3 linked regions of the Nothobranchius furzeri genome follow. The protein of the gene in region 2 purifies or fractionates together with the protein of the main gene of each other region. This does not show direct contact. Links are inferred from orthologs where the notes say so. Each region holds a gene or a part of one and is shown on either strand. Other genes may lie near its edges. The genes, in order: ufm1; cdk5rap3; type 2 phosphatidylinositol 4,5-bisphosphate 4-phosphatase.

Region 1 (3,754 bases), on a different chromosome or scaffold from region 2:
CCGATTAAGCCAGTGGAAACGGATTTACAGTAAATATACTGAGTGTAACACTTGAAAGTGCAAATTTGCTACTATTAAAATCTGCGTAAAATTCTCTGATGGCACAAACCTTTACGGTAATTTAAAGAACGTATGTAAAAAGTGTTTTTTAGGGAGAAAAAGCAACACAACTCAAAAGACCCGACATCTAATAATAGGTTAAACAGAATCACTTATTTACTCTAAAATCTATGAGCAGCTTGGACTAAACAGCAGTTCTCCCACAGCAACTCGCTGCAAACCGTTTACTTTTGAACAGTTCTCCAGTCTTATTCCCGTTTTGCTCAGTGGGACTAAGTCTGTTTTGCTGAAAGCAAGCGACATCCACAGTGAAATGATGTTCCGTCACTGCGCTGCTTTCTAACAGACTCAAATTAACACCCCACCAGCTCTGAGTACAAACAGCACGTCAGCAGCTTCAGCTCCCATTAGACGCCTTTCATACGCCGAGCTGCTGCGTGTTTACTCACACAAAATCAAATAAGGAGAAGTTAAAAATCCTTTTCAGTGACAAATAAGTTAAGAGGTAGCGTTTCGTTAAATAAATGAGATGGAAGTCAGCAGATGTGGCTAAAAATCCAGCTACAATCCAAACTACTGTCTGCTAAATTACCAGGTTGGATTTACAAACGTCAGTTAGTCGGTCAGAGCTGCTTTTTACATAATTGGTCATTAAAACAGTGATGAATCTACACAAACAATAACAACAACAACATAAAGTTACAGGCTTTTTAGGGTTAGAAACTCACCACATTTTTCATTTTTCAACTTGAGATTTTGACTAACTGATGTGTAAAAATGAAAGATTTAGGAACATCCTGTTTAAAATAACACTATAATTTATACAGGAAGTCAAACATTAAGCTTCAATTAGTAAAATGCCATTGCTGACAAAGATAAGATTCTGATTAGATCTTCTGTTACAGGGATTAACTAAACTCTATTTTCTTCTGATTGTGGGGCATAAATGATAAATGTAATTCTATTATGTAATTGATAACTCGCTTTGTGGCTGAAACTGATTTGAAACAATAAAAAATACAAACACACATAAATTGTATTTTCTGTGCAAGATATCCCGTCTCCATAATTGCCAACAACTGTGTAAGAAATTGATCCAAGTGGCTTTAAAACAAGTCCATGCATCTTATGGTTTATTTAGAGAACTAAAACTCTATGCAACAAAAGAAGCATCTTGACATCATTTAGGATAAACATTTGTGGCTGGACCACGGTTGTTACTTACTAATTAGCAAGAGGCTAATAATTAGCATGGCAGCTCAGTTTGCAGCACTGTAGCACAACAAAAAGGCTGCAGGGTTAACACCTGGACATGCAGAGTTAGCATGTTCTCCCCATGCATGGGTGGGTTTTCTTCGTGTGCTTCAGTTTCCTCCAACAGATCACGCAGGTGCATGTTAGGTTAAATGGTTAACTGTAATAGGAGTGAGTGAGTGTGTGACTGGTTGTCTGTCTCCTTCACCCACGTGATGGACTAGCATCCTGTCTCTGTCGGCCTACCTCTTCAGCTGCAAACTTCAAAACTGCTGTGAATGGTGTGCTTTCTGGGACACTTAACCTGCAACAAAAAATAAATAAATATATCAAATCTAAGATTGTCTAAGACTAATTGCTGCGACTTTTTGTTTGAAAATCAAGCCTGCTTGCTAGTCATGCACATCTAAACACCCCCAGATGTGGGTTTCATCCAAGCTAATGAGAAGAAGTAAAAGAAAACAAAGACTAAAAGACAAAAAAATAAATAAACATTTGTGGAAGAGTTACATACATATACTTTCACTTTGAAGCTTCTATGATTATACCCAACAGATCCACACTAGGGCAAAACCAAAAAACGTTCATTTAAAAAATCTAAATGCTGCAAATGTGATGACCAAGTGATGCAATGCAGATAAAAGAAGCTGTGACAAGGGAGCAGCACATACAGGATGAGAAGGAAAAAAAAACTAGCAGAAATGTAGTTTAGACTGGCATTTTCTCACAGGTGAACTTTCCAGCTTACTGATGATTTAAAACAAAACTGAAGGAGCCAACAGGATGTTCCGTCACAACTATTTTCTTTCTGTTTTGGCTTGTCTTTGAGACGAGTAGTTAGAAACAAAAACCAAAAACTCCCTAAAATCTGCTTGTTTTGTCAAAATTGTAGGAGTCCATCTGTCATTTACTACAAGGTACCGTGTTTTCAAAGAAAGATTTTTGTTAGTAAACTAAAAGTCTTTACGGAGTTACTGGTGAAGAATCGAAGCTTTTCTTCTGTATTTTTTTTAAATCACAGCATCACTTTTGCTAACACAGCAGTGACTTTAGCACATATTTTTATAGGACACATCAATATACCTTAATGAATGTTTGTTAGAATTAGGTCAACGTTTTCGACACATTTATCATTAAACGGGAATGCTGAGCTGTCCTTACACTTTGTACGGCAGCCGGGGATCCGACGTCAGGGTGATTTTAAACGTTACTTTAGACCTAATGACGAAAAGAATGAAGGATGATTTATCAACATACGGATACGATTGAATAAAACTACGTTAATTGAACGTTTCGCATTAAAACAAGGCAAAACTCACATCTTTTAAGCCTAGCGACTTCGTTGACAGTCTGTTTACCTAAACCCGGAAGTCCGAAGGACCCCAAAACTACGTCATCAATGTAAAATTACAATATTTTATTGCGTTTACGTGCAGATAATTTTAAGTGATTTTCTGTTATATTTTCAGAAAGTTTTTATTAAGAATCTATGATTTTATAAAGTCAGAAGTAAGTTTATTTCGCTCTATAACTGACAGGCATTCATTCAAAATACTAACAATTACCGTAAAGAATAAAGGTGACACGCAAACACAATCTTGTTTCCTAAAACTAGAACTATTCTCTATTCTAACTCTTCTAACTCCTCCAGAACCAAGGATATTATTTAAAAGCTCAACAAATTTTCCAGCTCCATCATTTGAAGTTCCTTCTCCCTTCTGCTCAGCGGTTCCACGGTTGCTAGGCGACGGAGCGGCTGCAGCCAGATGCTCTTGAAATTCACAGCCGTTCACCTTGTTCAATAAAGTTTTGAAAATTAAAAAATAAAAATAAAAACAAAATAAAATAAAAAAGAAATTCACAGCCGTTAACATCCGGTCTACTCGGCCGACGGAGGACCCAGCCAACGTCGGACTGGGTCCTTCGAAGGATGCAGACCCTGAATTGAGACACAGCTACAGTGACATGTCACGATGAAATCCATTGTTTTGCATCGTTTTTTTTTTTCTTTTTTGCTCGTTTTCATTTTAAATAAATGATTCTTCTCCCCTCTGTTTTTTTATTCAAAAGTGAAAAAGTGAAACTTTATTCCGGGCCTTTAAGGTCCATAATGGGAAGGATAACACAATGAACAGTAAAAATAGATAAATCATAAAGAATAAAGATTAGAGGATTAAAAACAGTTTAAAAAATAGCAAGAAAATAAAAACACATTAAGAACAATAAAGCAAGTTAATACAATAAAATTACAACCAATAGCAATATAAACCGACAAGATCAGTCAAACATACAGGCAACAACGCCAGTGATTCCAAAGGTTAGAATAGAAACGAGTCATGCTTCGTGTTGTTGTGGACAAGATAGAGATAATACCGTTTCCAGAGACCATCAGCCTACACATGCATCTGTACATTAGATTGCGAAGGGTAGCAGTACAAGT
Region 2 (3,408 bases):
GGAAATCGTATTATCATCTGTCTCTGAAAGCTTCCTCCTCAGCTTCTTCTAGAGTTACAAACACTTTCTAAAAAGGTTGTGCTGAGTAATCAAATGAAGGTGTGGGATTTTTTTTTTCATTTTCTTTACGTTGTTTTATGTTTAATCGGTCTGTGTGTTCTGTCAAACAGAGACCAGCTTGTTTTACTAATATTAGTCGAGGCTCAAATCATAAATGTTTAAAACAATAAAGTCAGTTCACTGCTTCACTAACCAGTGGTAAAAATCGTGTTTAGGTGAGTGTTGGCCTCTTTTCTAACCATTAATATTTGTCAACAATTATTTTTGTCTTCCTAAAACAAGACAAAAACTGTCCACCTCTTGCTCAGTTTCTAAGATGTTTGGCAGAGGTTGAAACAGAAAATCGTTTTAACCCAACGTCACGAGCATGGGCGTAGTTTAGAATTTTTTTTGGGGGGGGGGGTATGGGGGGGGATTTACAGTAAGTATACAAACATATGTTTAAAGCTGCAGCCTAGAAGCTTTTATGTAATGTCTGGAATGCAGAACTGTCAAGTACACAGGTGGCAGGAACGAGTATCAGCAGAGCCAGTAGATGAGCTTATGGACAGTTCTAATGAGAAGCAGGCTTTAACACAAGCGGTTGTTTTCCGCTTGGTCCTAGTGCTCAACCAAAATATTGTTATTGCTCGGTAAATAGTGCAGTGGACAAAAATGTACTTTTACTATGTCCATAGTCAGGAGAGATTAAACCAATTAGGTCCTCTCACAATAAGCCATATGACTTTTATAATGGATTTTGTCTTGAACATTTTAGTTATTAAAACCACATTTTTCTCACTCTCTTTTCCTTCTGTCATGCTTTAGCATTTTAGCCACTAGCATCAACGTAAGCTGTTAGCATTTAGAGCAGCGAGTGTTCATCTGAAGGTCAAATATAGTATCTGCATGCAGTCTGAGACTCTTTGATTTCTTTGCTCACAGTGAAACTTTGATGGTGATGAACTCTTGATATACTGTGCAGTTCCAGAGCAAAGTGAGACAAAAAGTGAGATAAAAATAAAGATACTAATTTTTATTTTATTTCTATACTGTTTTTTTAAAGAGCCAGACATCACTGTTATTGTAGTAGAAATCAGGAAGTATTTCCTGGATGTCCAGTTGACATCAGTTATGTAGGATCTATCTTACAATGATCATTGTTCCTTCTGAAATGAAAATATTTTAATAATAACCTGACTCTGTTCGTGGTTCTGGTATTGTTTTTTTTTTTTTTTTTTTTTCCCCAGCTAGAGACGTTCCTCACCCAGCGCATCTGTGAGATGGGGGAGGAGGGTGATGTGGTGGCTATGAGCCAGTTCCAGCTGGCCCCCTCTGTCATCCAGAACCAGACCCAAGGACACGTCCAGGACATGCTGTCTCAGGTGCAGGACCTTCTGGGTCGGCTCACCTCTCTGCGGATGCAGCACCTGTTCACAATCCAGGCCTCACCCAGGTATCACCTGAGCATCTGCATCACCTACAAGCTGAATTTGGGTCTTCAAGACATCAGGAAATGTATCTAAAGGAGCATTTTACAGCAGGAGGTGTAATAAAAGACTAATCTATCAGCATTCATTGAGACACTAATTTTTATATATTTATTTATGGACATAGTAAAAGTACATTTATGTCCACTGCACTTTTTACCGAGCAAAAACAATATTACGGTAGAGCACTAGGACCAAGCAGAAAACAACAGCTTGTGTTGAAGCCCGATTCCCATTAGAACTTACTGTAAAGAACCCCCCCCACCACCACCACCACCACCACCACACACACACACACGCATACACACACACTTCTAAAGTCAAAACTACGCCCATGTTGTTGTGTTTATGAACATGTGTGTTTGACCTTTATTTTAATTTTTAAGCATCTCAAATATCTTTTACACATTACAGTTGTGCTACTTTTAAAGGGAATGTCTTTAAAATCAAATTTAAGAAAATATTTTACTCTAATTACTGAAGTTTCACAGCAAAATGTAAAAAAATTAAGACTGAAAATTGTGAATTGCAACTGGGTGGTAGTGGATCAGTGGGTAAAGCGGTTACCTATTAGTGGTTTAATCCAGGCTTCCTCACCACATGTTGAAGTGTCCTTGGGCAAGACACCACTCCATATAATCCCTTCAGTTTGTGAATGGGCTTTGTAATTAAAAGCTCTATGAGTGGTTGAAAACATTTCAAAAAGTGCAATATAGACATAGTATATTTACAATTTTACTATGACAAATGTGCAAATGTTATCATTTATATTGCCTACATTTGGTCTTATCGATATTTTACTAATTCCAAAAAAATAATTATGCTTGTTATTATTTTTACGTGTGTGTTCAGGTATGTTGAGCGTGTATCAGAAATGCTGAGACAGAAGCTGAAGCAGGCAGACATTCTGGTGCTGAAAGCCGCTACCATGGCTGAGAAGAGGCAGGAGGCCCTACAGGAGCAGTGCAGGCTGGAGCCTTGTGTTGACCTGCTGGCAGGATGCACCCGGGAGCTCCAGAAACTGGTATTACATTACTTTTACTTTTATTACTGCTGAGGGTGGGAGGGACTTTCCACTGGGAAAACAAAACAGAAAATCAAAACCCCATGTCACAAGATCTGTCTTAAAATAGAGGGAGGGGAGCCTAAAGAAGGAATATAGAATAAACTACAACCTCAGTCACTTCTATAATAACAAAGTATCATCATTTGTTATGACTGATTATTTGCTTGTTTTTGCAGATTGAAGCAGACATTTCTAAGCGATACCACAACAGACCAGTCAACCTAATGGGAGTCAATATTTAGTGATGTTCACCTGAATATTTTGTCATGATTGACAGAGAAATAAAAATGGTATTTAACTTCAACTCATGTATTTTTGTGTTTTATATATGCATATAAAACAAATATAAAAGACAGCTGATCATTTACAAACTTTTGGATCAATTGTAAAATAAATGGCCTTATATATGGTGTTTATGTTTACATATTTTTTAATTATTACAAAATGTTAGTTTGCTTTTATGTTTTGTCCAAACTCCAGGCCAGACCAATGACTAGTACAACATATTTTATGTTTTTATTCATAAAAACTTGAAGATGATGCAACAGTTGTGTAAAAATGTCAACATTTATGGTGATGGGCTAAACTCACATCTTCTGCCTAAGTCAATTATTTGTACAATAAATACAAAATATGTTGTTCCTAAATTATTTCTCTTGGTAAATTCGTTTTAGTTTTTTTTTTCGGCAAATAATTGTAGAATAAACTCATAACTCCGTGTTCTGAGAGGAGGGGATTTTCCGTTGGCTGATGAAAGCTTAACACTAGAATGTTCTACGCATGCTCTGTGTGTGCGCGTGTTTTCGCTAGAGC
Region 3 (3,754 bases), on a different chromosome or scaffold from region 2:
TGCATCTGTTCGACATCTGAGTACAGAGATATTTCCACCGGTGAAAAACAGGTCCACGGCAAATTCGTTGCTGGTCTTTGAAGCTCTTTTTGGCTAGTTTTGTTCAGTTTCCTAGCCTAGTGAAACAACAAAGACCAAAACAACTTCTCCCGCTCACCGAACTCCCCATCAAAATGAAACGTCAACTCCTAACATTCACTCTTGTAACCAAATACAATACGTTTGAGGTATTTTGGCCACTGCAGCTCTCCGTACCCATTTCCTATTTACATGGGGGATTGGTTTAGTATGTCTCTCTACACAAGCAGGATAAACAGAACTCACTGCAAAAAGGCTAGCTGAAACACTAACAATCGTTCTCAAATAATAAAAAAAATCACGAAGCCAAATGCAAAGTTTAGGGCAGAACATTGACCCAGAGGTTCACTAATTGAGCAGATGCACGAGAATAAATGTAATTACCGCTTAGAGATAGAGCAAGCTAGTGGCTAGCGGTAGCTGCATCCGCTATCTCTAGAATGTTACTGAGTCATCTTGTTTCTTGTCTGAAATGAGATGGGTATTTTAAAAATATTGAGATATCGCCCAGCTCTACAGTATTTTTTTGTGGATGTAGCTGCTCCATGATTCATCGTGTCTTTGTAAATAGTTCCGCAACCTCTCACAAAAGCTTTGTTATTAACATCTGTTGGCTAATGCCGAGCAGCGAGCAAGTAAAATAACAAGGGTCTCTATGGGACAGGGGCGGGCTTAGCATAAAATAAAATTCTGTGTTGCATACTTTTTTACAGATTTTTTTAAGATCGTGCGTAATTCATGAAAAGAGGAAAACTTTTGGTAACTGCATTCAAATAAAGTTTTTCTAAAGATGGTAGCAATCAACTGAGTGGCCGTTTGCTCGTCAAGCTAATCTCTTTTTCTCCAAACTGAGGTTGTTAAAATAAACTTTCTACAGCTGTTCAGTTGTTTGTGACATTTCCCACAGAAACAGGCTTAAAAATACAAATGTCATTTTTAATTTAAGCTTTAAATTTTGACATTTTACCAAGAATGTTACCGAGATATGACTCGCTGCCCCCTAGTGGTCGGTTACAGAACTCCTGTTTTAACTTTTTCAGACCTGGAGGTTGAAATTTTGTGCTGCAGAACTAAGATTTGAACTGAGTTTAAAACACAACTGCTTATTCAAAGAACACAAGGATTGTGGGTAATGTAGTTTATTTAGATAAACCTCAGGTCATTGTTTATGTTTAGGATGTGCCAAAAGACGTCATGACGTCAGGTGTGACATCTGATTGCTTACTGAGGAATTTTCAAGGATGCAGAAAACTTCATCATTCAGTCTAATTTTCTGATTTTGTTAAAGTTTACTGGAGAATTGACATTTAGCACCTTAAATGCTGCGTAAAGAACCAAGACGAAGCATAGAAATCTGGTTTCCTATCAAAACACTTTAATTGGAAAATGCAAAAAATGTTTTAATCATGGCACGTCAAAGAAAATGATAGTGTTAGCATGAAGAGCACATTTTTGCCTCTAATTTAAGTCATTATAATAAAGGATGTATTATTTTTCCAGTGACGATTGAATCTTTTTTGTTGTCTGATGCTCATCGGGTGTCCTGTTACCAGGAGCTGTTCTGGTTTTCAGACCACAACCATCGAGCCTGAGGCTTAGGTTGGATGTTGTTATAGATGAGCATCTTGTCATCTTACCTCAGTGGACACAGAAGGAAAATCTTTACTCATATTCTCTTTCAGACATCATCAGGAGACGTCAAAGCCCGAAGCTAAAAGTAGAAACGAGTCTCGGATAACTTCTTTTATTTAAAAAAATGTAAACGTAGAGGTGTCATTAATGGCCTCTCTCCCTTTTGTCTTCTTGTAGCTGAGCTACCTCCTCCCTACACTGCCATCGCCAGCCCCGATGCAAGCGGCGTCCCTGTCATCAACTGCCGCGTCTGCCAGTCGATCATCAACCTGGATGGGAAGCTGCACCAGCATGTGGTCAAGTGCACAGTCTGCAACGAGGCTACAGTGAGTAGAAACTAGCGGTGCACGTTAGGGATGTCCCGTTCCGATATTGGTATCGGATATTGGCCCAATATCGGATTATATCGGACTGCATCAAAAATCTCCAATATAAGCAGTCCGTTCTGCATTAAGTTTCATTGCAGCAACTCTATCCAGCAGCGCCCAGATCCAGTGTGCAAAGTCCACGTGATCAGAACAGTGTTTGCTAGCAAGGAGCGATGTCGGCCATGCGGCAGTATTTTTGTTAAAAGTCCAAAAAGACGGTTTGGCTCGGTGCAACACTTGTCATGCACAAGCATCTAAAGATTGAACAGAACCGAGGAAGTTTTTTACGTCCACCCTCAATGTGCATTTGAAGCGGGATCACAAAACATTACATGAGGATTTTCGCAGTGTGTGAAATTGAATCTTTAGACCAGGGGTATGTAATTCTGGGACTGGAGGTCTGGTTTCCAGCACATTTTAGTGGTTTCTCTGTTTCAACACACCTGTGCAGCAGCTCATCAGGCTCTGCAGAAGCCTGTTAATCACCTGCTGATTAAAATCATGTGTGTTGAAGCAGTTAAAACTAAAGCGTGCTGGATACTGGACCTCCAGGCCCATAATTGAATACCCCTGCTTTAGACACAACTTGTAGCAGTTGGTCAGTGAACAATATTGTGTTTTTTTCCTTATGTCTCTTCCCTCAGCTGTTCACATTTATGCAACCAAAGGTTATTAAAAAGTCACTTGATCAAGCCTTTTCTACATTCCACACTACGAAATAGGTGAAAGTATGTATGATTTGTGCTGATATCATATCGGATTGATATCGGTATTGGTCAATAGTGAAGGCTGCAATATCGGTATCGTATCGGAAGTGGAAAAAGTTGTATTGGGACATCCCTAATGCACGTACTGGAAAAAATTCACATTGTGATTTTTTTTTTTTGGGGCGTAGTTTAAAATAAACATGAATTCTCAACAGATGAGTTAAATAGCAGCACTTTAAGTTGGCGTTTATGTGCCACGGGCGGTAGATTCATTCTTCTGGGTGAAACGGGTGTTTTTTTTCCAGCAGGACATAATCATAACTGGAGATGTTCCCATTTGATAACATGGCTGGAAATCAAACTCAGTCACGTGATTTAACCTTATAAAACAACTAGCTTGACCTTTTAAATTCATCCTGAGGTGGAGATTTTCAAACTTAATAACAATGGCCTAGTTTTAAATGTCAACAAGTTCCTCTCCATCATTAGTCCTTATTTCTTGGAGGACGCCAACGTCACAAAATGTGAGGCAGGCGGGGGTTCCGTGTTAGCTAGCAGGCTAGCATAGAGCTAACACGTTGCCTCATTTGAGCGGAAATGTTTGCAGTTTAGCCATATTTTATACTCGACTCTAGTGCAACAGCCGCTTGTAATGTGTGCAAACTGGGCATTTAACATGGCGGAAAGGCAAAGCCACCTTCTTATTTCTCTTTCGGCTTCTCCATTCAGGGGTTGCCAGAGCAAATCACCCGTCTCCATTAAGTCCTAGTCCATCACTAATACTCTCAGTTCACTGCGTCAACTCAGAAAAAAACGTGGAACCATCCGACTCTGAAAGATACGTTAATAATAGGGATGCACCGATACCGATACTGGTATCGGTGCAGATACCGATACGATACTGGTATCGGTAAAAGTTAACCGATACCAGGAACCGATACCAATGCAGTTGCTTGAAAATGGCTTCAC

What was found.
Region 1: the proteins of cdk5rap3 (region 2) and ufm1 purify together in Homo sapiens (co-immunoprecipitation; 3 studies listed by BioGRID and IntAct, with this or other methods). This does not show direct contact. The link is inferred for Nothobranchius furzeri from reciprocal best matches to the Homo sapiens genes CDK5RAP3 and UFM1.
Region 3: the proteins of cdk5rap3 (region 2) and type 2 phosphatidylinositol 4,5-bisphosphate 4-phosphatase purify together in Homo sapiens (affinity purification with mass spectrometry; 3 studies listed by BioGRID and IntAct, counting the BioPlex papers as one, with this or other methods). This does not show direct contact. The link is inferred for Nothobranchius furzeri from reciprocal best matches to the Homo sapiens genes CDK5RAP3 and PIP4P2.

The regions. Positions count from the first base shown.
Region 1 is NC_091750.1:62,920,369-62,924,122, reverse strand, and holds the start of ufm1 (ubiquitin-fold modifier 1), read right to left. Parts: upstream 2,715-3,754; 5' UTR 2,636-2,714; coding exon 2,634-2,635; intron 2,533-2,633; coding exon 2,476-2,532; intron 1,619-2,475; coding exon 1,561-1,618; intron 1-1,560. UniProt on the Homo sapiens protein: Ubiquitin-like modifier which can be covalently attached via an isopeptide bond to lysine residues of substrate proteins as a monomer or a lysine-linked polymer.
Region 2 is NC_091756.1:50,106,072-50,109,479, forward strand, and holds the end of cdk5rap3 (CDK5 regulatory subunit-associated protein 3), read left to right. Parts: intron 1-1,289; coding exon 1,290-1,495; intron 1,496-2,381; coding exon 2,382-2,553; intron 2,554-2,771; coding exon 2,772-2,837; 3' UTR 2,838-2,899; downstream 2,900-3,408. UniProt on the Homo sapiens protein: Substrate adapter of E3 ligase complexes mediating ufmylation, the covalent attachment of the ubiquitin-like modifier UFM1 to substrate proteins, and which is involved in various processes, such as ribosome recycling and reticulophagy (also called ER-phagy).
Region 3 is NC_091759.1:18,777,975-18,781,728, forward strand, and holds the start of type 2 phosphatidylinositol 4,5-bisphosphate 4-phosphatase, read left to right. Parts: upstream 1-1,063; coding exon 1,064-1,126; intron 1,127-1,799; coding exon 1,800-2,036; intron 2,037-3,754. UniProt on the Homo sapiens protein: Catalyzes the hydrolysis of phosphatidylinositol-4,5-bisphosphate (PtdIns-4,5-P2) to phosphatidylinositol-4-phosphate (PtdIns-4-P).